Linked DNA regions of Oryctolagus cuniculus. The protein of the gene in region 3 binds, or shares a complex with, the protein of the main gene of each other region. Links are inferred from orthologs where the notes say so. Each region holds a gene or a part of one and is shown on either strand. Other genes may lie near its edges.

The links.
Region 1: MED20 (region 3) and MED21 share a complex: the UniProt entries of both Homo sapiens proteins name them as parts of the mediator complex. The link is inferred for Oryctolagus cuniculus from reciprocal best matches to the Homo sapiens genes MED20 and MED21.
Region 2: MED20 (region 3) and MED25 share a complex: the UniProt entries of both Homo sapiens proteins name them as parts of the mediator complex. The link is inferred for Oryctolagus cuniculus from reciprocal best matches to the Homo sapiens genes MED20 and MED25.
Region 4: MED20 (region 3) and MED12 share a complex: the UniProt entries of both Homo sapiens proteins name them as parts of the mediator complex. The link is inferred for Oryctolagus cuniculus from reciprocal best matches to the Homo sapiens genes MED20 and MED12.
Region 5: MED20 (region 3) and MED24 share a complex: the UniProt entries of both Homo sapiens proteins name them as parts of the mediator complex. The link is inferred for Oryctolagus cuniculus from reciprocal best matches to the Homo sapiens genes MED20 and MED24.

Annotation. Positions count from the first base shown.
Region 1 is NC_091440.1:124,254,647-124,258,706, reverse strand, and holds the start of MED21 (mediator of RNA polymerase II transcription subunit 21), read right to left. Parts: upstream 2,806-4,060; 5' UTR 2,605-2,805; coding exon 2,563-2,604; intron 188-2,562; coding exon 73-187; intron 1-72. UniProt on the Homo sapiens protein: Component of the Mediator complex, a coactivator involved in the regulated transcription of nearly all RNA polymerase II-dependent genes.
Region 2 is NC_091449.1:7,732,031-7,735,543, forward strand, and holds part of MED25 (mediator of RNA polymerase II transcription subunit 25), read right to left. Parts: intron 559-3,513; coding exon 460-558; intron 306-459; coding exon 185-305; intron 1-184. UniProt on the Homo sapiens protein: Component of the Mediator complex, a coactivator involved in the regulated transcription of nearly all RNA polymerase II-dependent genes.
Region 3 is NC_091436.1:127,992,846-127,996,732, reverse strand, and holds the end of MED20 (mediator of RNA polymerase II transcription subunit 20), read right to left. Parts: intron 2,959-3,887; coding exon 2,705-2,958; intron 1,431-2,704; exon of another isoform or gene 1,234-1,430; intron 1,120-1,233; coding exon 904-1,119; 3' UTR 502-903; downstream 1-501. UniProt on the Homo sapiens protein: Component of the Mediator complex, a coactivator involved in the regulated transcription of nearly all RNA polymerase II-dependent genes.
Region 4 is NC_091453.1:50,938,512-50,942,024, reverse strand, and holds part of MED12 (mediator of RNA polymerase II transcription subunit 12), read right to left. Parts: intron 3,090-3,513; coding exon 2,956-3,089; intron 2,785-2,955; coding exon 2,623-2,784; intron 2,363-2,622; coding exon 2,251-2,362; intron 2,084-2,250; coding exon 1,994-2,083; intron 1,459-1,993; coding exon 1,349-1,458; intron 1,106-1,348; coding exon 970-1,105; intron 688-969; coding exon 526-687; intron 1-525. UniProt on the Homo sapiens protein: Component of the Mediator complex, a coactivator involved in the regulated transcription of nearly all RNA polymerase II-dependent genes.
Region 5 is NC_091448.1:22,377,075-22,381,098, reverse strand, and holds the start of MED24 (mediator of RNA polymerase II transcription subunit 24), read right to left. Parts: upstream 2,809-4,024; 5' UTR 2,225-2,808; intron 2,209-2,224; exon of another isoform or gene 2,135-2,208; intron 1,741-2,134; 5' UTR 1,684-1,740; coding exon 1,554-1,683; intron 1,467-1,553; coding exon 1,384-1,466; intron 1-1,383. UniProt on the Homo sapiens protein: Component of the Mediator complex, a coactivator involved in the regulated transcription of nearly all RNA polymerase II-dependent genes.

The DNA.
Region 1 (4,060 bases), on a different chromosome or scaffold from region 3:
AAATAAATCTAATTTAAAGGATTACACGAAGTCCGAGAATCAAATAAAGGGAAGCCAAGAAAAGCTGTTTACCTTCGGTGGGATTAGCAGGCTGGTCTTTGTTAATGGCTGTCTGAATGTTGTTAAAAGAGGCAGGAGGCCCACCCTGCTGCAGCACTCCAATGGCGTTACAGAACTGATCTGCAAGCTTGGGCCAGAGAAAACAGGTCAGGATTATACAAAGTTTATCAAGTCTAAAGCTTTTGCTGGTAATGGCAACAAGTTTCCCAAAACAATGCTCTCTGAGCAGGGGAGTGAATCAGAAAGGAGTAATTTCGGATAAAACAAGCCAGTGTGTTAACAATGATTAGATATTTCAACCATGCAAATAAACTTAGTATCAACCTAGGTGGTGTTGATATCAATCTAGATGAGACAGTAAAAATGGAATTAAAAGATCAATATATTTTTATGCAAAAAAATTTTGCAGCCCATGCAAACTTGTATCATCTTTCTTGTCTTCTGAAGCTAACAGAATGATAAAGACAATTTTGTGCCAATATTACAGGCAACGAGACTTTCCACGTATGGCCCCAGATTTAATTTAAAAAAGTGTTACTCATATACAATTCCTTTTCTGAGATCTCAGTGTTCACAAGGCAAAGAAATAGGGGAAATAAGGTGCCTTTTCTAATGCAGTGCTAAGGCTCGCGTTGTTAAAGTATTCCTTCAGCAGCTCTCAAGACTGAGAAACCAGTGCCTTACCATCTTCAACCAGGGACCACAGCTCCCCACCAATCCTCTCACTAGGCCTGACCTCTCAGACCTCAAGTCCTATTTCCCATCAGTGAGGAAGCATTTCCACCGCCCTTCTCCGCCATGACTGCAATGGCCGGACTCGAAGTCACCTGCTCCCCGGATAAGTATCTAACTGGTCTTGAGAGCGTCCTAGCCAACCAGTCTCATTCCAGAGCCTCATGCCTTCCAGCTTCCTATCCCGCGGATGGTTCATTCTCCCCCTTCTGTTCCATCACTTACCTCCTGCCAGAATTACTGCAATCGCGCCCTCACTGTTCTCTGGTTACCCATCGTATTCCCCCCTGCACAAAAACCGCCGGCTCACTCCACTGCGGTCAGCAAGCGGTTTCCAACTTTTCAATAATAATCTCAGCCAGCTCTTCCTAAACATTTTTCACATTTTACTCCCTCACAGTTACTCGCTAGTTATCAGTTTGCTGGTTTGCTATTTGCAATGGAGGGGGAAGAGCTTGGAAGCTATATAAACCTAGATTCTAATCCTGGTTTGATTAACCGGACAAACAGCGGAAACGCACAAAAAACCCTTCAACACAGTGGCTATCTGTACTGTCCCTCACAAGCTTTCAAGATCCATTTAGACGTTCATTCAACAAACAGTGATTGAAAAAAACTCCACGGCAAGAAACGAACATAAACCTAACAGCCGTAACACAAATATGGTGAACACGACATGAATAATTACGATTACGATAATTCAGTATTTCAGGGCGCATGGCTCCATATTCCAATTTACTCAGCACTGACAGCTGAAAACACCGCATTCATTCTAACTCCCTAACCCCATAGTGTTTTTACATCATTTAAACGTCCCCTGAGTATGTGACATCATCCTTATGCCCTTCAGGCTGTCCCTTTGGAACTACGATTGGGCTCCGACACAGCAGGCGCTCATGGCGTACCCTGAAGGCTTCTCTGGAGACCCCAGCTACCAGCAGGCCTCCCCCTGGGGGAGAGGCCACACTCCCTCCGCCCTGCCTCGCCTCCAGGGGCCAGGCCACGAAGGAAGGCTTCCATCCAGCACCAGCATGTGTAGAAGCTCCCCGAGGGCCTGGCAGGATGTCACCCACACTCGGTGGCTGCCCGCTCAGCCTCGCAAGCTCCCGCGCTGTTCACAGCACGCTGGCGCTCTGCAAGCGCTCGGCTCGTCAGCTTCAAGGGCTGGGGGGTGAACAATCACAGTGCCCGCCCAGGCACCCGCCCGGGGACAGCAGCCCCAGCAGGCAGGGCAGCCAGCGGCCGCTCCAAGCCCAGGGCCTAGGGCTCGCACGCACTCTCAGGTGCAAAGCATCGCCAGGGACAACGCCAGGGGAGCCGCTTCTCAAACCCAGGGACCTCAACGCCCGACACAAGGTTCACAAGCTTCCAGACGTCAGCTCTCGCCATCCCCGCCTGAGGGAGCGAACACAACTTCTCCAGGCGCCACCGCTCCTGCTCCCGCCCCTCGAAGTACCGGAGCCCGGCTAAGGCGTCGCACCGAGACGCAGTCTCCAGGGCCCCGGGGCCGAGGTATACGCAGAGAACCGCGTCTGCTTTCTTCTCCTCCCGCCCCCAGCACCAGTGTCCGGCGAGCCCCGTGAGGCCGCCGCCGGGCAAAGGGGCTGCTCCCTCCGCGGCCCCCGCGGCCGGCCTCGAACGCCCCGAATTCGCAGAGGCACCGCCTCCATCTGCTCGCCACCGCCGAAGGCTGCGTCTCGGGCCTCTTCTCCTCCCCCGTTTTACCTCAGGAATGAGGCAGACCGCAAGTAAGCGAATTAAAGCGCCTACCGAGTTCACGGCGTCTTGCAGCTGTGTGAGGCGGTCCGCCATGTTCCTCCCGCACGCAGAGACGCTGCAGCAGCTGCTCCTACGCGATTGGCCAGCTTTCGTACGGGTCACGGCCAATCAGAGTGCGGCTCTCCGGAAGGGGTGGGGTCATGGAGGACACGCCCCGCGAGGAGGGGCGGGTGCCGGGGAGAACGCCGGGTGAGCTACCTGGACCTGCAGCGGCTGGGGCCCGGCATCCTTTGCGCGACTGGGCTCCCTTTCAGGTTGTGAGGTGGTCAGCTGTTTACCGAGATCGTTGAATTCTGTGGGATTATTTAGTGGTTTGTCCTACTTTCCCATGTATTTAAAAATTTATTTATATATTGTCATTTTATTAGAGAGGCAGATTAAGTTCTATCTGCTGATTGATTTTCCAAGTGCCTGCAGCAACTAGGGGCTGAGCCTGGCCAAAGCCAGAGCCTGGAACTCAGTGCAGGTCTCCCACCTGGGAACCACTCCAGCTATAACCTGCTGCCTATCTGGTGCTCACTAGCAGAAGCTAAAATCAGGAGCAGAGCTGGGATTCGAACTCAAGCCCTGTGATGCAGCTGTCCCAAGCAGTGCCTTAGCCACCATGCCACACACCCACCGCCTGCCCAGGGCTACCCCAGTAATCCAGTGGATTAATCCACTCAGAAGGGCCGAGTCACCTTTCCCTATCACTGCCCTGCACAGCTCAGAAACTGTCAACTGACTCATCTCTACTTGCACATCTCAAAGGCACCTGATGTAGTTCAGGTTTGCTGTCACATGCCAGAGAGAGATGCAGTTCCCTAGCTATCCTGGACTGCTCGGGACCCTACTGCAGGAGCAAGGCCGGCGCAGGCGGGTCACAGAGTATCCACACCTCACCTTTTGCTTCATGTTAACACTAAGAGCTCCACCCCAGGGGGAGTGTGAGCTGTGCTGCCGTATGGTGCAGCCAGTGTTGGAGCATTCTTCCAAACTGTACCTTCATGGACCTGTACCCACCCCCAGGTGTGATCAGAACCTCCCTCTTACCTGCTCATCTTTCCCTCTCCCCTGCTCACAGAGTCACGGCTTTGGAAATGACTCCTTGTGGTCTCCTTGTCTGCTGCAGATATATGACTTGGTGTGACAGCTCCTTCTGGTGCATTCCTTAGATGCATGAATGCGGCAGACACATTCAAAGCATGGCAGTGGGGGAGACAGTCCTTGGGGAACTCAGCTTGCAGGACTGAGCCCGGCCCTTTCTGGGAAGCCCCACCTCTGCGTCAATAGACCTGACCTGCTGGGGGAACCACACAGGTGAGACACTTCCCATATCATGGTACCAATGCCAAGTGACTCTCATTTGCTTTAACTGTAGTTTGGAGCAGTCTGTAGCTTTCTTGTACCAGTTGAGAGTATACCGTACCGAATGTTGCACCGTGCCATGGAAGCTGCGTTTGCAAGGGGCAAAAGGTCAGGGACTTGCTAGGAGTTCTACACTTGCCCA
Region 2 (3,513 bases), on a different chromosome or scaffold from region 3:
GCCCTGCTGTGGGGGGGATACGACAGGAAGTGGGTGCCCTGATGTAGGGCAGAGCAGAGCAGAGCAGGGGGGACGCGGGGCCAGCCCCGGGTGCCCACACCTGACAGGCCTTAACCACAGTTCTCACTGGCCGAGGCAGGGACGGCAGACTCGGGGAGCTGCCCAGGGCACTCTGGGTCCTCACCTCCCCAATCTTCTGCACCAGGCTGTCGGTCGTGCAGCCCGAGTACGTGGTGCTCTCCACGGCGGGCAGCAGGTACGGGGGGGAGTTGCAGATCAGCAGGCACACGCGGTGCGTCTGGCCGCTGCAGGTCAAGAAAGGCATGGAGCAGCCACCACGGGGCCTTGAGGAGGCCGCAGACCCCGACCCCAGCTGCCTGCCCCACGCCCCCACCACAGACCACGTGGTCCCGGGCCAGCTGGCACGAGCCCGGCCCAGGCCGCGCGAGGGGCACTCACATCTGCTCCCGCATCTTCTTGAAGTCGTCGAACAGCTGCAGGGCTGTGCTGAGGCCTTCGGCGATGAGGCTGCAGCTCTCACCGCCCCCGCCCATGAACCTGCCGGAGGTCAGGGGTCAGCCAACGTGCCCCTCGCCCCCCCGCCGGCCTGTGTTCCCTGCACTGTCCCCGCAGTGGGCACAGCACCAGGCCAAGGGCGTGGACGGGGCACCTGTGCTGTCCTGATCCTGGGATGACCCTGTCCACACTCCACACCCCTGGCCATCTAGTCCATCTTTAAAGCCAGCCCTGGGCTCACCTCACCTTCCCAGCAGGTAGAGGGACCCCTTTGTCTCCCAGCACCTGGTGGGTTTGAGTGTCTCCCTCTCCCCAAATAAAACAAGCTGAGATCCTGCCCCTAGTACCTCAAAATGTGACCCGACTGTAAATGGGATCTTTAAAAACTTTTTTAAATTTTACTTGAAAAGCACCCCCACAACACACACACAGGCGGTGATACTCCTCCTAACCGTGCGTTCACTCCCCTCCCCAAATGCCTGCAACAGCCAGGGCTGGGCAAAGCCAGAGCCAGCAGCTGGGAGCTGCACGCAGGGCAAACGTGGGTGGCAGGGGTCCAGGCACCCGAGCTCCACCTGCTGCCTCCGGGCGCTGGGCAGCGGACGCTGCGTCCCAGGCAGGGCATCACCCACGGTGCCCCTCGCCCACCTGGAAACACGCGTTCTCCCCAGGTGATCGAGTTAAACAGGTCACCAGGGGACAGCAGGGCAGACCCTGGGGTGTTAGGCAGGAAGTCAGTTATGAGCTTACGTGTGTGTGCCAAAGGCCTCCCGAGAAAACTTCTACGTTCAGCATATGCATCTGCATCTCAAAGTCATCCTGATGGTGTTACAGGGGCAGCCCGGTATTCGCATCTTCACATCCTGCCCTGCCCCCTTCTACCTGATGACCTGCCAGGTGGAGATTCCCCCCGACTTCCGCCTGACAAATCCTCCACAGTCTCCCAGGTGCAGCCCAGTACCTGCATCTCAAACACCCTGCTCCGGATCCCCATTCTCCAGGGGGTCCTGCTCACCCTTCCTCTGAACCCAGGATGGCGCCAGCTGGGCTTCCTCCTGTCTGATACCTTCAGGGGAAAACTCAGATAGGAGCTTCTTAATATTTACAGCCATAAAATCCTTTGATTCAGGAGGAGATGTGTGAAGACAGAGACCCATCTCCTTAACCCTCCCCCCCCCCCGCCCCCAGCCTCAACCGGACTGCGCGCTCAGCCCTCTGCCTCTCTGCTGAGCCGCCCGCCTGGTCTGGTCAGGTGTACTCTCTCCACTCAACCATGTAACATCCCCCCCCCCCCCCCCCCAGTCCGAGCGACTGCACTCTTTCCCAGGTCCTGTCTGGAGAGGTGCCCATCCATCCTCACGGATGTCCCTTCCCTAATAAACCTTGCTATTTTACTATTTTACCTCCCACTGCTCTCTGTCTCACGCCTGAATTCTTTCTTGCGCGAAGACAAGAACCCTGCAATTTCTCCGGTAACAGGGGAAGACGGCGCCAGCCGAGGGAGCTGTGTGATGACGGGGGCGACACAAGCCAGGGGCATCTGGGACGACCAGAAGCCGGGAAAGGAAACCAAGCCTCGCCCATTGGCCCCCAGAGAGAGGCCTGGCCGGCGCCTGGAACCCAGACTTGCGGCCTTCCAACCTGCAGCCGATCTGTGTCTGCTCAGGCACTCAGCACTCCGCGGGTGCGGCCCAGGGAAAACACCCAGGCACAGGCACAGGCACGCTCGCACTCGGCCGCTCCTGTGGGGAGGGGGCAGGGCCTGCTGCAGGGCTGTGGGTGACCCTGTGCCTGGCCCACGCAAGTTAGCCTCACTGCGGGCAGGCAGCAGCAGCCCCAGGCCCGTTCCCCCACCCCAGCCTCCTGCGGAAGAGCCCGGAACTGCCCATCAGGTAAACAGCCCCCGGGCGCGGCCCAGGCCCATCAGGAAGGCTGCAGGACCTTCAAGCTGGTTGAGAAGCAGAGCGCGCCAACGGCGGCCTTACCCTCTAGCGCTGGTGTTGCCCTGAATTAGCCACGCCCCCCGCCTGCCCTTTTCTATCTCATGCTTGATCGTCAATAAGCAGACTTGTTCACCAAAACCGGTCTCTGGCGCTTCTTGCAGAACGCCGTCAACCCACCATCCCGGCAGTGTGGACCTTGCAGGACGAGCCCACACACGGGCGGGTCCAAGCCCTCTCACCACCAGCCTGTGCACCTGGGGGCCTTGGAAAACGTGTCTTCAACAAACGGATGGCCACATCCATTAGGGCGGGAGCAGACCCAAGCCCCCGCCGGGCACCTGCACCCCCTGGGCCTGGTCCACCATCACTGGCCTCTCTGGACATGCTCCAAGGGGCAGTCCACGGTCACCTGGACCGAGACGAGACGAGACGGCGGCTGCCAGGGCACCGTGAACTGCCAAAACGCCCGAGGTCAACACCGCTCCTTGTTTGGAACAAAGAGCCCGCTGGCCCGAGACCTGCTCACCCGCGGCCCACGAGTGCTCTCCCAGCCTCCGTCCACTCCCTGGAAAAGCCTGGTGAACCCCTCAGCTCCCTCTCCCTCTTATAAAGCCCTCACTCTCCTGTGTATTTCTTCTCTCACTGAATAAATGCTAAAACCATTAAAAAAAAAAGTCCGAGGGCCACAGTGAAAGGCTAAACTTTGAAATCCTAAAACTTGCTCTTTCTTCTGAATGAACACAAACAGAACTCAGAGAGAAAAACAAACATTCTGTCAGAGATGAGCAACGCTTCTACTGGGGAACAGAAACAAACACTGCCGGTCACAGGACACAGCTTCCCCACGGAGCTGGCACCGGCACCTGCGACACCGGCATCGCATACGGGGCCCGGCTGCTCCGCTGCCCATCCAGCTCCCTGCTGGCGCGCCTGGGGCAGCAGCAGGCGACGACCTGAGTGCTTGGGCCCTGCACCCACGTGGGAGACCCGGACGGAGCTCCTGCCGCCTGGCTTGTGGTCATTTGGGGAGGAAGAGGCAGATGAATGATCCCTG
Region 3 (3,887 bases):
TGCAAGGTTCCGCGTCACAGCGAAGCCTTCCAGCAAAGTGTGGCACCAGCACTTGAATCGCTCCAGGTCATATGCTCTAAAAAAAAAAGCCGCTCTCTTCCCTCTTTCCCAGGGGAATGTGGACACAGAACTGAGGAGTCTGCTTTGATCTTGTGGGTAAGGATAATACCCTAGGGATAGCTGAACAACAAGACAGAAGGAAAACAAGTTCCTGATGACCTGGTACAGTTAAATCTGCTCTGGACCATCTGATTACCTGTGTACTATCAGAGGAGAAAGAAACTTTTACCTAGTAAGAGCCACAGTCCTTTTGGTTCTCCGCTACGACAGAGTTTAGCCTGTGGCTTAACATAATCACGACAGAAGGGAAAGACATCAACAGGAGAGCTCAAAAACTCAGCTAACACCCTAGGAAAGTCAATTCACAGTTTCTGGCAAACAGGTCAGAAAATGACAGGCATCAAACAAGCTGTGCTTCCGCCTGCATCTCCAGCCACATCCTTTGAGTTAAGGAAGAGATTTTTATTCCTGCATGGCCCAAACACGAAACGCAGCACATCTGTTGTGGGTCCAGACTGATTTCCCCACCAACACTAGGCAGGGGCACCCCTGTCCTACCTTTTCCCCTAAAGCAGGAGAGGTCCAAACTTCTCCAGTCTTCATAAATACCATTCCTGAGGACAGGCCAAATCCAGTGAGGCCTGGGGCAAAATGGCTGTTGGGGGGCTGTGTGAGGGTCAAGGGTGTGGAGTCCAGAGTCCCCACAAAGGCCACAGCTGGGAACTGGAAAGGAAGAGAGGCCTCCATGGCTGCCCTAGATTTCTGGGGTCCAGAGACCTGAGGGCAGCACCTCCTCCTGTGGAGTACCTCTGGTGACAAAGCTTGGCCAGCAGCTGCCAGCCACTAACGAATCCCAGCCACTGGCACCTGCTGCTGCTTGCGGATCTTGTTGAAGAGTTCCATGTACTGGACCATGGTGTCTGCTGGGCCATAGACTGCGTCGTGTCTGTTTCCAAACACTGCAGGAATCCCTGGTGTATGGCTGCCTAGAAAACTCTGTAGGAACTCAAGCAGCAGGCTCCAGCAGTCACTAGCTACCACGCAGGGGCCGTACTCCACCTGGGGACCAAAAGAACAGAGAATGAGGGTAAGGGAGGGCAAGGACAAGGTCTGCTCTCTTGCCCTCCTGCCCTCTGCCTCTATGTCCCCCAACCCTGAGTCAAAAACACACACCTGCCAGCACAGTGTTGTCCACAGGAAATATTCAACACACCCAGCATTGTTCCCATTAAACGCCATCCTGGAGGTTGTCAGCCCGCAGCCCTCCCTGTTAGCCCCATGGGCAGATCTGGGTCCCTTTTGTTTGTCTCAGGGCTCTGCAGACTCTGCTGTGATGCTTGGTGAGGATTCAAGGAGAGCTCAGGAAAATTCTGAGACATACAACAAAGAGAGAAGGGAAGAAAAATGTGTGTAGGTACGAGGAAGGCAGGAGTAGGGCTGAAGGGGTAAGTAGAGGGCAGAGTAGACACACATCCTCATGAGCCTCTTCAAGACCAATCTTTATTTCCAAGGCAGATATAGCCAGGGCTCTACGCCTAAAAGAATTTCCCAAGCAAGGTGGCAGCGGCCAAGAATACACATCTCAGGTTTTCTTGTTCCTCTCTCCTAGTTTTTCACTGGGGTCACAAGGAGAAACTGTTGAGTGTGTTTGTCCCACAAGGGTGGAAGTGGAGGACAAACAGCGGGTCCCGTTGGGTCTCAGCAACTCAAGGTGTATCCCAAGCTGAAAAGTTAGGGAATCTGTGCTCCAGAGGTTTCTGAGCAGAAATCACTGCTACTGCCCTTTTCCCCACCTGGGATGCTTCCCAGACCGACCCATCCCACGTCTCTATGTTTTAAGCCCCTACTTCAATGCTGCTCCTCCCAGAAGCATCACAACCGAGTCAGCAGTTACCGCTGGCCTGAATTCCCTGAGCAAAGCTGTGCTCCACTTATGGCATTTCTTGGACTGACTTCAAAAACAGTTTTCTAGCCTTGTTCTCTTAATAAATCATAGATTTCCAAAATGCAAGCCCTGTAAACTTCCTTGTTTTTTAATCTCAAATAATGCTGGGTATGTGGTAGGCCATGGACTTCCCCAGGTCCCAGGGCCAGCTTCCACCTTACTCCTCTCTGCCAATTTCAGTATGTATATTTAGGCTCACGGATGAAGTCTTCTCATACAGGTACCCCTCTGCACCACAAAACAGAGCAGCAGCATATCAAAAGGAAGGCGCATTTTCACTCCACAACTTCTGAGACCCATTTCAAAGCAACAATAAGGAGGCTGACATTCAAAGTGATGAAGGAGTCACCTTCCAAAAGTGGCTCCAAAAGTTGTCCTAGTCTGCTGCAGGTCCTGCCACAGCTCCTGCACATCATCACCCACATGTCTCCCTCAGTTCTCCCTTCCCTTCTCCGGCAAGTCAGGCATCGTATGCTTTTACCTGCTGTGCACCCAGCTTCCCATTTCCCATGCTGGGCTACTGATTCCATAACTGATGAAAGAAAGGGTAAAAAATTCATGGAGAGAAAGCCAGGAGCTTGGAATCAGGGGTCAGGCAGGCAAAAACATCTGTGTGACCTGGGCTGCCTGGAAAACCTTCAGAGCCCTCTGCTGCGCAGCCCCTCAGCACCACCTGCTCCCACTTCACCGAGATCTTACCTCCACAGAGATGCCCCGGGCACTGGGACCCATTGTCACAGTGCCCACCTTCACCAGGAAGTCACAGTACTGGTAACGGGTGCCCCGAGTCTCAATCTTGCTGGCCTTGGCACTCTGGAAAAAGCCCTTGAGCTTCACCATGAGCACATCAAAGTTGGTGTCAGCAATAAGGCAAGGGCCATTCTCAAAGAGGGCGAAGCAGCTCAACGGGTACTCCGAGTTGTGCATGACATACATCAGCTTCCCGGCCTGACCTGCAACGGACGGAGACCTACTCATCACCCAGGCTTTCGCTGGCAGACCCAGGCTGGGATCAACGCATGGAACAAGGCCAGCTGGCAAGCGGGTACTACTTTAGCAGTCCTGCATACCAGTGTGTATGTGGGGAGTGGTTCCCCTCTCCTTGGTGGCTCACAGAGGGATGCTTAGATGACTAACAGCTCATACAGAAAAAAAAGCTCAAACAAAATGTACTATGTTCTTTAGTATCTGAGAGTATTTCACAAAGACTGTAGAAAATGGAATCAGAAAACAAGCCTAGAGGCCAGTGTTGTGGTGCAATGGGTAATCCACCTCCTACAACACTGACTTCCATGCTGGACTGCTAGTTTTGAGTCCCAGCTACTCCACTGCTGTTTCAGTTTCCTGCCAATGTGCTTGGGAAGGCAGAAGATGACCCAGATACTTGGGCCCTGCTACCCACGTGGGAGTCCAGAATGCAGCTCCCAAACCTGGCTATTGTGGTCATTTGGAGAGTATTCCAGTAGATGAATGATCTCTCTCTGTCATTCTTTCAAATAAATAAGCATTTTTAAGTCCATTTTGGTACAAAAAATTTTTGAAATCTATGCATATTTTTTCATTATATGCTTTTTTGGGGCTGGTGCTATGTCAAAGCAGATAAAGCTGTTGCCTGCAGCACCAGCATCCCATTTGGGTACTGGTTTGAGTACCAGTTATTCCACTTCCAATCCAGCTCCCTACTAATGCACCTGGGAAAGCAATGGAAGATGGCCCAAGTGCTTGGGTCCCCACACCCATGTGAGAGACCCAGAAGAAGCTCCTGGTTTTTGATTGGCCCAGCTCCAGCCGTTGTGGCCATTTACAGAGTGAATCAGTGGATGGAAGATCTCTCTGTCTCTATAACTCTGCCTTCACATAAAATAAATCTTAAAACAAAATA
Region 4 (3,513 bases), on a different chromosome or scaffold from region 3:
ATCAGGAAAAGCAACGCAGAGAATGCACATCCGAATGGACTTTGGATTTGAAACCCTGCATCCTCCTTCTCCTCTCAGTGCTGCGACATACAATGATTACAGCTATTCAACAGATACTACCACTGACACAGAGGGACAAGAGGAAACTGCAGAGATGGGGTGGGGTGGGGTGGAGGATATGCACGGATAAAAGAGATCTGCATCCTTAGCCAAATAGAGGGGTGGGGACAGGACAGGAAGGGGGTGGGGCAGAGGCAAGAGGAGGGTGGGGTACTGAGAGATAGGTGGGGGTTGAGAGAGAGAGAGAGAGAGCAATGAAAGAGAGTGGGACTTCAAAGATGGGGAGAAGACATGTAAGGAGAGGTAAATGATTCACTCTAAACACCAGAGATGGCTTCCGCCACTGGCAGAGCCTAATGGACTCCTGAGTCTACTGAGGCCCTTGTAGCCACGAGGTTAAGGCAGGGACACCTTTGGCTCAAGGAGGGAAAGGGGCAGAGGGCGTGGCAAGACAATGGAACATGCCTCCTTCTTGAAGATGGAATCGAAGCCGGCGATCTTGTTGCCCTTGGTGTCGATGAGGGAGCCCTGGGGCTCACACGTGATGACATCTCGGGTCTGCTTAGGCAGTGGCAGCAGCTGGCGAACCTTTTCCAGACTGTCTGACTGGTGCTCCCCCAACTCTTTCTGCAGGCCCGGGAAGAAGGGACAAGAGGTCAAAGTTACAGAAAAACAGGGTCAGGAAATCTCAGGAGGGAGCAGTGAACCTAGCATAAAGATAACATCTTGGTAAATCCTCACTGTGTGCAAAACAAAGAAAAAAATTAGTGAAAAGTATGTGAAAGGGAAAGGTAAGGAAGGTGTGGGCCAGAATGAAGTTCCTGAGGCTGGGCAGCAAGCGCCGTGTCAGGGGAGAGGGGGCCATGATCCCATGACCTCCAAGCCCCGGCCCTGGCATCTTCTGCTCACCTGTAGCTTCTTCACTAGGTTCATGTATGCACGCTTGTTTTCCTCCATGCTGCCCTGGGAGATGCTGGACATGTCTGCAGCCAACGTCCCATTGATCAGGACACTCAGCATGTCCAACACGGTAGTGAAGAGCTCGCTGTGACAGAGAGCCAAGGAGAAACTCAGAGAAGAAAAAGGTTCAGGCAGAAAAAGGCCTTAGCAGACAGCGGTGCCTGATCTGTCATCCCAAAGGCACCAAGACTGGGTGAGGAACACCCAGGGCCACACTGATCTCAGTGGACCATGGACCTGGAGCGGAGCGGGGTGGGGTGAGGCTGGTGGGGGGGGGGGCTTCTGGGGGCGTGAACAGGGGGCCGGGGCGGGGCCAGGGATGCTTTACTTGTTGGACTGCATGTCGACGGTGCCGCTGATGATGATCTCCAGGAGGAGTATGGCCCACTCCGTGGTCTGCTGGGTGCTGCGCTGTACTGTGTCAAACATGCCCCCCACCTGCCAGGGCCACAAGTCAGTCAGATGGCTCGGGGACGATGGGCAGGCTTGAAGGCAGGCTTAGATCTTAGAAGCGGGGCTAGGTGGGACTCGGGACACCTGAGGCCAGGTTTCAGCTGTGCCTGGGATTTGCTACATGATCTCAGGCTGACGACTGAATTCTTGACATCTTAGGGCCTCTATTTCCTTATTTAGAGAATGACGGGGGCCGGACCACATGATCTCCAGGATACTACTCCACATTTCATAGTGCATTTCCAGGGTTTCTAGGGCCTGGCCACAGTGTGGGATACTGAGGCAGGATCCCTGCAAGGATCTAGGGTATGCACGCAACCCACTGGACCCTGACCAGGGTGATCTAGTCCCAAGAACCATTTCAGGACCTGTGTCTTTTAGGAGAGCAGGGTTAATAGTTGTAGACCCAGAGAAACCTGGGACCCCCACCCTCAGCCTCGCCATCCCTGACCAGGGTCTTCTTTCCTCTGCCTTTTCCAGCCTCCCTCTCTCCCTTTTTCTCCCCGGCTCCCCTGCTCACCAAGTTGAGCCGCAGTTTGAGTGCCTCATGCATTAGCTGCTTGGGTTTGCAGTCATCTAAGTACTGGCCATCCCGCCAATTCTTCACAATCTAGGATAGAAATAAATGCACCAAGTTGCTCGGGTACCTTCTTGTGTTCATACCGAGGCGCCCAAATGTGCGTTATCAGCGAGTGGTGAAGGTTTCCAGCATACAGAGGCCTCAAAAGTGCATCAGCCCCTTCTCTCCTGCCCACCTGCATGGCCCAGGACCTGTACCTGGTGCACCTGGTTGTAGAGGGAGGTGAGGAGTCCCTCCCGCTGCTCATCCTGCCCCTTCAGACACGTCAGCACCAGTGACAAAAAGGGCTGCTGGCTCAGCAGGGACATACTATGGACAGGAGGGAAAGAAAGGAAAAGGGAGACCATGGGTTAGAGAGCGAGCAACTTCCAACCTCATTCTGCCAAGCTCCAGACTCTATTCCTCTTACGGTGCAGCCTCTTTGCTCAGCCAGGCCCACTCCTAAGGCCCCAATTTTCTCCTTTCTTATGATGTTTATCCTCAGCTCTCAGCCTCCAATCTTACTCTGCCCGGAGCCTGCCCCTTCTCATCTCTACCCCTCAATCCTGGTCGCTCCAGCCCCTTTTTACCTCTTCTGCTTTTGCCGATCACGTTCTTTGCGGGAAGAGGAACCCAGGTGCTGACCCTTCTCCAGTTCCTCCCCGGCGGCCTTTAATACATGCCCCTGGACTGACGTGGGCAGTTTGGCGATGAGGGGAGCCACCAGCCACACACCAGAACGCTCAAGAGAGCTGGAGGACAGATGGAGGACATGCAGTTATAGGGGAGCCAGGCCAAGGCTGAACAAGCCATCCTCTCCTGTCCTTGACGGACGTGCTCAGCAAGCTCACGTGGCTGACGCCATTCCTGGGACCAGAAGAGAAACTCATAAGGGAATGGGTCCTAACATGTTTCTACCCAACCTGAGCACAGGCTTGGTCTTGCTGCTGCTGGGCATGTTGCTTGCAGCGCTTCCGGAAGATGACCCTGTCTCCGCCGACTGCTGGAAAACCTCGATTGTGGCCTTGGCGATGTTCTCCAAGAGGGAATTCATCTCCTGGGGAAGATGCAAGGCAGAGAGGTGCTATAGTAGCTAGCTGGCGGTGAAGGAAAATGGATGGGAGGAGACGCTGGAGACAAGGGCAAAAGAGAGCACCTGTGGACGGCGCTGATGGGAAGGGAGGTCTGGCAGGAGTCATGCCCTCTGGCACCTCTGCATTTCCTCAATCCCTCACCATCTTCTCCTCTGCAAATCTCCTTCCATCTGTGGCCACAGCAACGGGCTCCACCACCACATCCTGATAGCTCAAACACTCCTAACCCATTCCCCTTATCACCAGCTCCACATGTTTGCCATCTTCCCATCCTCTCTTATCTCAAGAACCCAAGTGTGGGGCCGGTGTCACGGTGCAGTGGGTTAAGCTGCCACCTGCAACGCTGGCATCCCATATGAGCACTGGTTGGAGTGCCCGCTGCTCTAC
Region 5 (4,024 bases), on a different chromosome or scaffold from region 3:
GATTGCTCAGACTGGATTAGATGTCCCTTCCATGTTCTCTCACAGTACCTATACTCTATTCTTTAAAAATAAATTAGAAGACTTATTATACTCATTTGAAACACAGAGGGAGAGGCAGAAGGAGAAAGATCCTCCATCTTCTTGCTCACTCTTCAGATGACAACAAGGGGGCCTGGAACTCTATCTGGGTCTCCCATCTGGGTGACTTGAGCCACCTTTTTTTTTTTTTTTTTTTTTTTTTGACAGGCAGAGTGGACAGTGAGAGAGAGAGACAGAGAGAAAGGTCTTCCTTTTGCCGTTGGTTCACCCTCCAATGGCCGCCGTGGCCGGCGCGCTGGGGCCAGCGCACCGCGCTGATCCGATGGCAGGAGCCAGGAGCCAGGTGCTTTTCCTGGTCTCTCATGGGGTGCAGGGCCCAAGCACTTGGGCCATCCTCCCCTGCACTCCTGGGCCACAGCAGAGAGCTGGCCTGGAAGAGGGGCAACCGGGACAGAATCCGGCGCCCCAACCAGGACTAGAACCCGGTGTGCTGGCGCCGCTAGGCGGAGGATCAGCCTAGTGAGCCGCGGCGCCAGCCTGACTTGAGCCATCTTGCACTGCTTCCTCAGATACGTTATTGGAAGGACTTCAACCTGTGCTCGATATGGGATGCCAAGCTAACAGGCAGCAGCTTAACCTGCTGACCCAACAGGGAGCCCCCGTACTCTGTTCTAACCCTTATCATAAACCCATCAAGTGACTGCTGCTTTACAAGTCTGTATGAATGTCACCCATTAAATTCCTGTGTACCAGGAACAGGTCGTGTTTACAGCTTTTTCCTCAGAGCCTAGCACTGTCTGGTACTAAAAGCACTGACAGAATAAGCAAATGAAATACCCATCACAACATATGAAGTATTCTTATTTTTACAAGAAAACTGAGCTCAAAGAAGCAATCTGTTCAAACAGTTCATGTAGAAAGTGTAAGTTCAGGGGCTGGCACCATGGAATAGCAGGTAAAGCCACTGCATGCAGTGCCGGCATCCCATGTGGGCACCGGTTTGTGTCTGGCTGCTCCACTTCCACTCCAGCTTCCTACTAATGAGCCTAAGGAAACGATAAAAGACGGCCCAAGTCCTTGGACCCCTGCACCCAAGTGGAGACCCGGAAGAAGCTCCTGGCTCCTGGCTTCTGATCAGCACAGCTCTGGCTGTTGCAGCCACTGAGGAGTGAACCAGCGGATGGAAGACCTCTCTCTCTTTCTCTCTCCCTCCCTCTCTCTTCCTCTCTGTAACTCTGCCTTTCAAATAAACAAATAAATCTTTAAAAAAAAAAAAACTAAGTTGACAACTGCACTCCAGGTCATTCACCCCCAAAATCATTCCTTGGGGAAGAAGTGGTTTACCTGGGAACTAATGGCATACTTCAGGTAGGACAGGATGAGCGGATTGGGGGAAGGTCCAATCATGGCCTGCTCCAGGAGTGCTTCTGTAAAAGGAACAACAAAGTAAGGCTGGGTGGTTACGACTTCCCTGGGCTCATCCCTCCCACCCTTCCTTCCACTTCACTTGAGACCTGCCAGGTTGAGAATGTCCCAGGTGGCTCCTTTGGGAAAGAATTTCTTCATGTTGATTGCCCACTGGTAGTCACTCCATCGTTCCTTCCAGGCTTGCAAAATGGCTTGCTTCAGGTTGACCACCTTCATGCCTTCACTCTGAGGCGGCGGCCCGTAGAGAACAGCTTTGAGGTTGCAGAAATGGAGCTAAAGAGGAGATAAGTTTCAGGGAAAGAGAACAGCCGCGGGCAGAGCTCCACAGAATGGAGACGGGAACCGATTGAAGCGAGGAGCAGGAAATAAAAAAGGGGAAGGGACAAGGTGGAGATCCTGTCAGACCCGTCCCTCCTAATCCATCCCTTCTTGGACTGGGGCACGAGGAAGAGAGTGTCAAACGGGTAATACAAACACTAAAGAGGGTAGCAAAGGGTTAAGCCAGTTCCAATGGCCAATTACTCCCCGAGCCCTGGCGGCGTCCCTCGGCCTCTACCACCCCACGTTCAGCTTTCTCCCCCACCCCCACTTCCACCATCTTCCCCAACCCTGAAATTATAATTCCCTATATCCTTTTCATCTTCCACCTCCCTAAATTTAAACCTACCGGACAGTCGAGCTCTAGACCCTAGGGAGCGCCATTTTGGCACTTATCAAAGAGCCCAATTCTTATTGGCTGAGGATAACAAATACGAACCAGTAGAGATACGGCAAGTCCCGCCACGGTGCCTTCTGGGAGTTGTAGTTCCTTGTACGGAAGTCGTATTTGCCATGGAAAGGAAGCTAAGGGACTACTTGTCAGGCCGCATTATTTATCTCCTTTTAAGAAGGATATCCAGGCGTTGAGGCACTACAGCGTCTCAGAGGCACGGGGTGTGTGGGGGGCTTGAAAAGCTGCTTGCAACTGGGCGTCGCCCAATGACGTCACTGCCGACCAGGCCCTTCCATCCTATTCCGACACCCTTTCCTTACCCTCTAGTTAGTAGGCAGGGTGTGGCGTTTCTCTTCCCTGGTCTTTTATCCCCCCCCCCCCCCCCACTACTGAGCTCTTGGAGCTGTGAGACTTTTCATTTCCACACCTGCATCCCACAGGCGACACTGAGGCCGGTTAGTGGCACACACATCACCTCACAGCCGCATCTGAGCGTCCTCACATACTCTCCTGGCCCATTCAGTAGGAAATAAAGAGGAAACCGAAGTTAGCGTGTTTAAGAAACAAGGAATATCCAAGAAACTGCTCGACATGGCCTAAGAGGACACGACAAAAGGCATTGTGTTGAGGATGGGATCCTGAAAGAGAAAAAAAAAAAAAAAACACATTAGGCAAAAAACTAAAGAAATATGAGCAAAGCAGACTTCAGTTAGTAACAATGTATTGATGTTGATTCATTAGTTGTTAACAAATGTATCATACTAATGCCAAGATGTTAATAAAAGGAGAAACTGGGTGCAGAGCTAGAAATTGGCCAGCCTGAGCTGGGCCAGGCTGCAGACAGGAACCAGGAACCAGGAACTCAATCCTGGTCCCCCACGTGGGTGGCAGGGGCCCGTCTGCTGCTGCCATCCCAGGGACATTAAGAGGAAGCTGGAGCCGAAGCAGAGTAGCCAGAACTCAGTACAGCACGCTGCTGTGGGATGCCAGCATCACAAGTGGACAGCTTAACCCACTGTGCCACCATATCACCCCAACCCTGTTTTATTGGGCAGGCATGACGCAGCGGGTTAAGCTGCCTTTTGGGACACCTGAATTCCACATTGGAGTGCCTGGTTTGAATCCTGACTACTCTGCTTCTGATCCAGCTCCCTGCCAGTGTGCCTTGGAGGCAATAGAAGATGGCTGAAGTACTTGGGCCCCTGCCACCCACGTGGGAGACCTAGGTGGAGTTCCTGGCTCGTAGCTTTGGCCTGGAGCCCTGGCTGTTGCAGTTATCTGGGGAGTGAACCAGCAGATGGAAGATCTCTCTTTGTCATACTGCCTTTCTGTTAAACAAATAAGTTCTTCAAAAAATAAAATAAAATACCAAAAGCAATCCTGTTTATCCCAAGAATCACATTGTAGATTATAATGTCCAGGGCTTTAGGCGTTAAATCTTCTCTCCCTCCTGTGAGAAGCCAGAAAGCAAACATCCCCCACCTCTGGCTCTGAGATCTAAGCCTCCCTATACAGCCTCACCCCTGCCCAGTCATAAGGACAGGTCACCCCAGACATTTATAGTCAGAGACAAGAGGGAATGGGGGGGCCCTCGGCCAGTGTCCTGCCACCCCTCCTTTTAGCCCCCAACCCCGTATCCTGAGGAACCAGATGTGCCAGTCCACAAGTCCCAGTCCCGTCCCTCTCCCAACAGCCATCCCTCAGCCACCTTCTGAATCTGGATGAGCAGCCCTCTCAGGCTCTGTCGGGGCAGAGAATAACAGGATCCTGGGCATCCGGAGCAAGGGCCAAGCAGGGAAACGAGGACTCCTCTTCCAAAGGGAACAGTGTGGCTGGAGAAGGGCC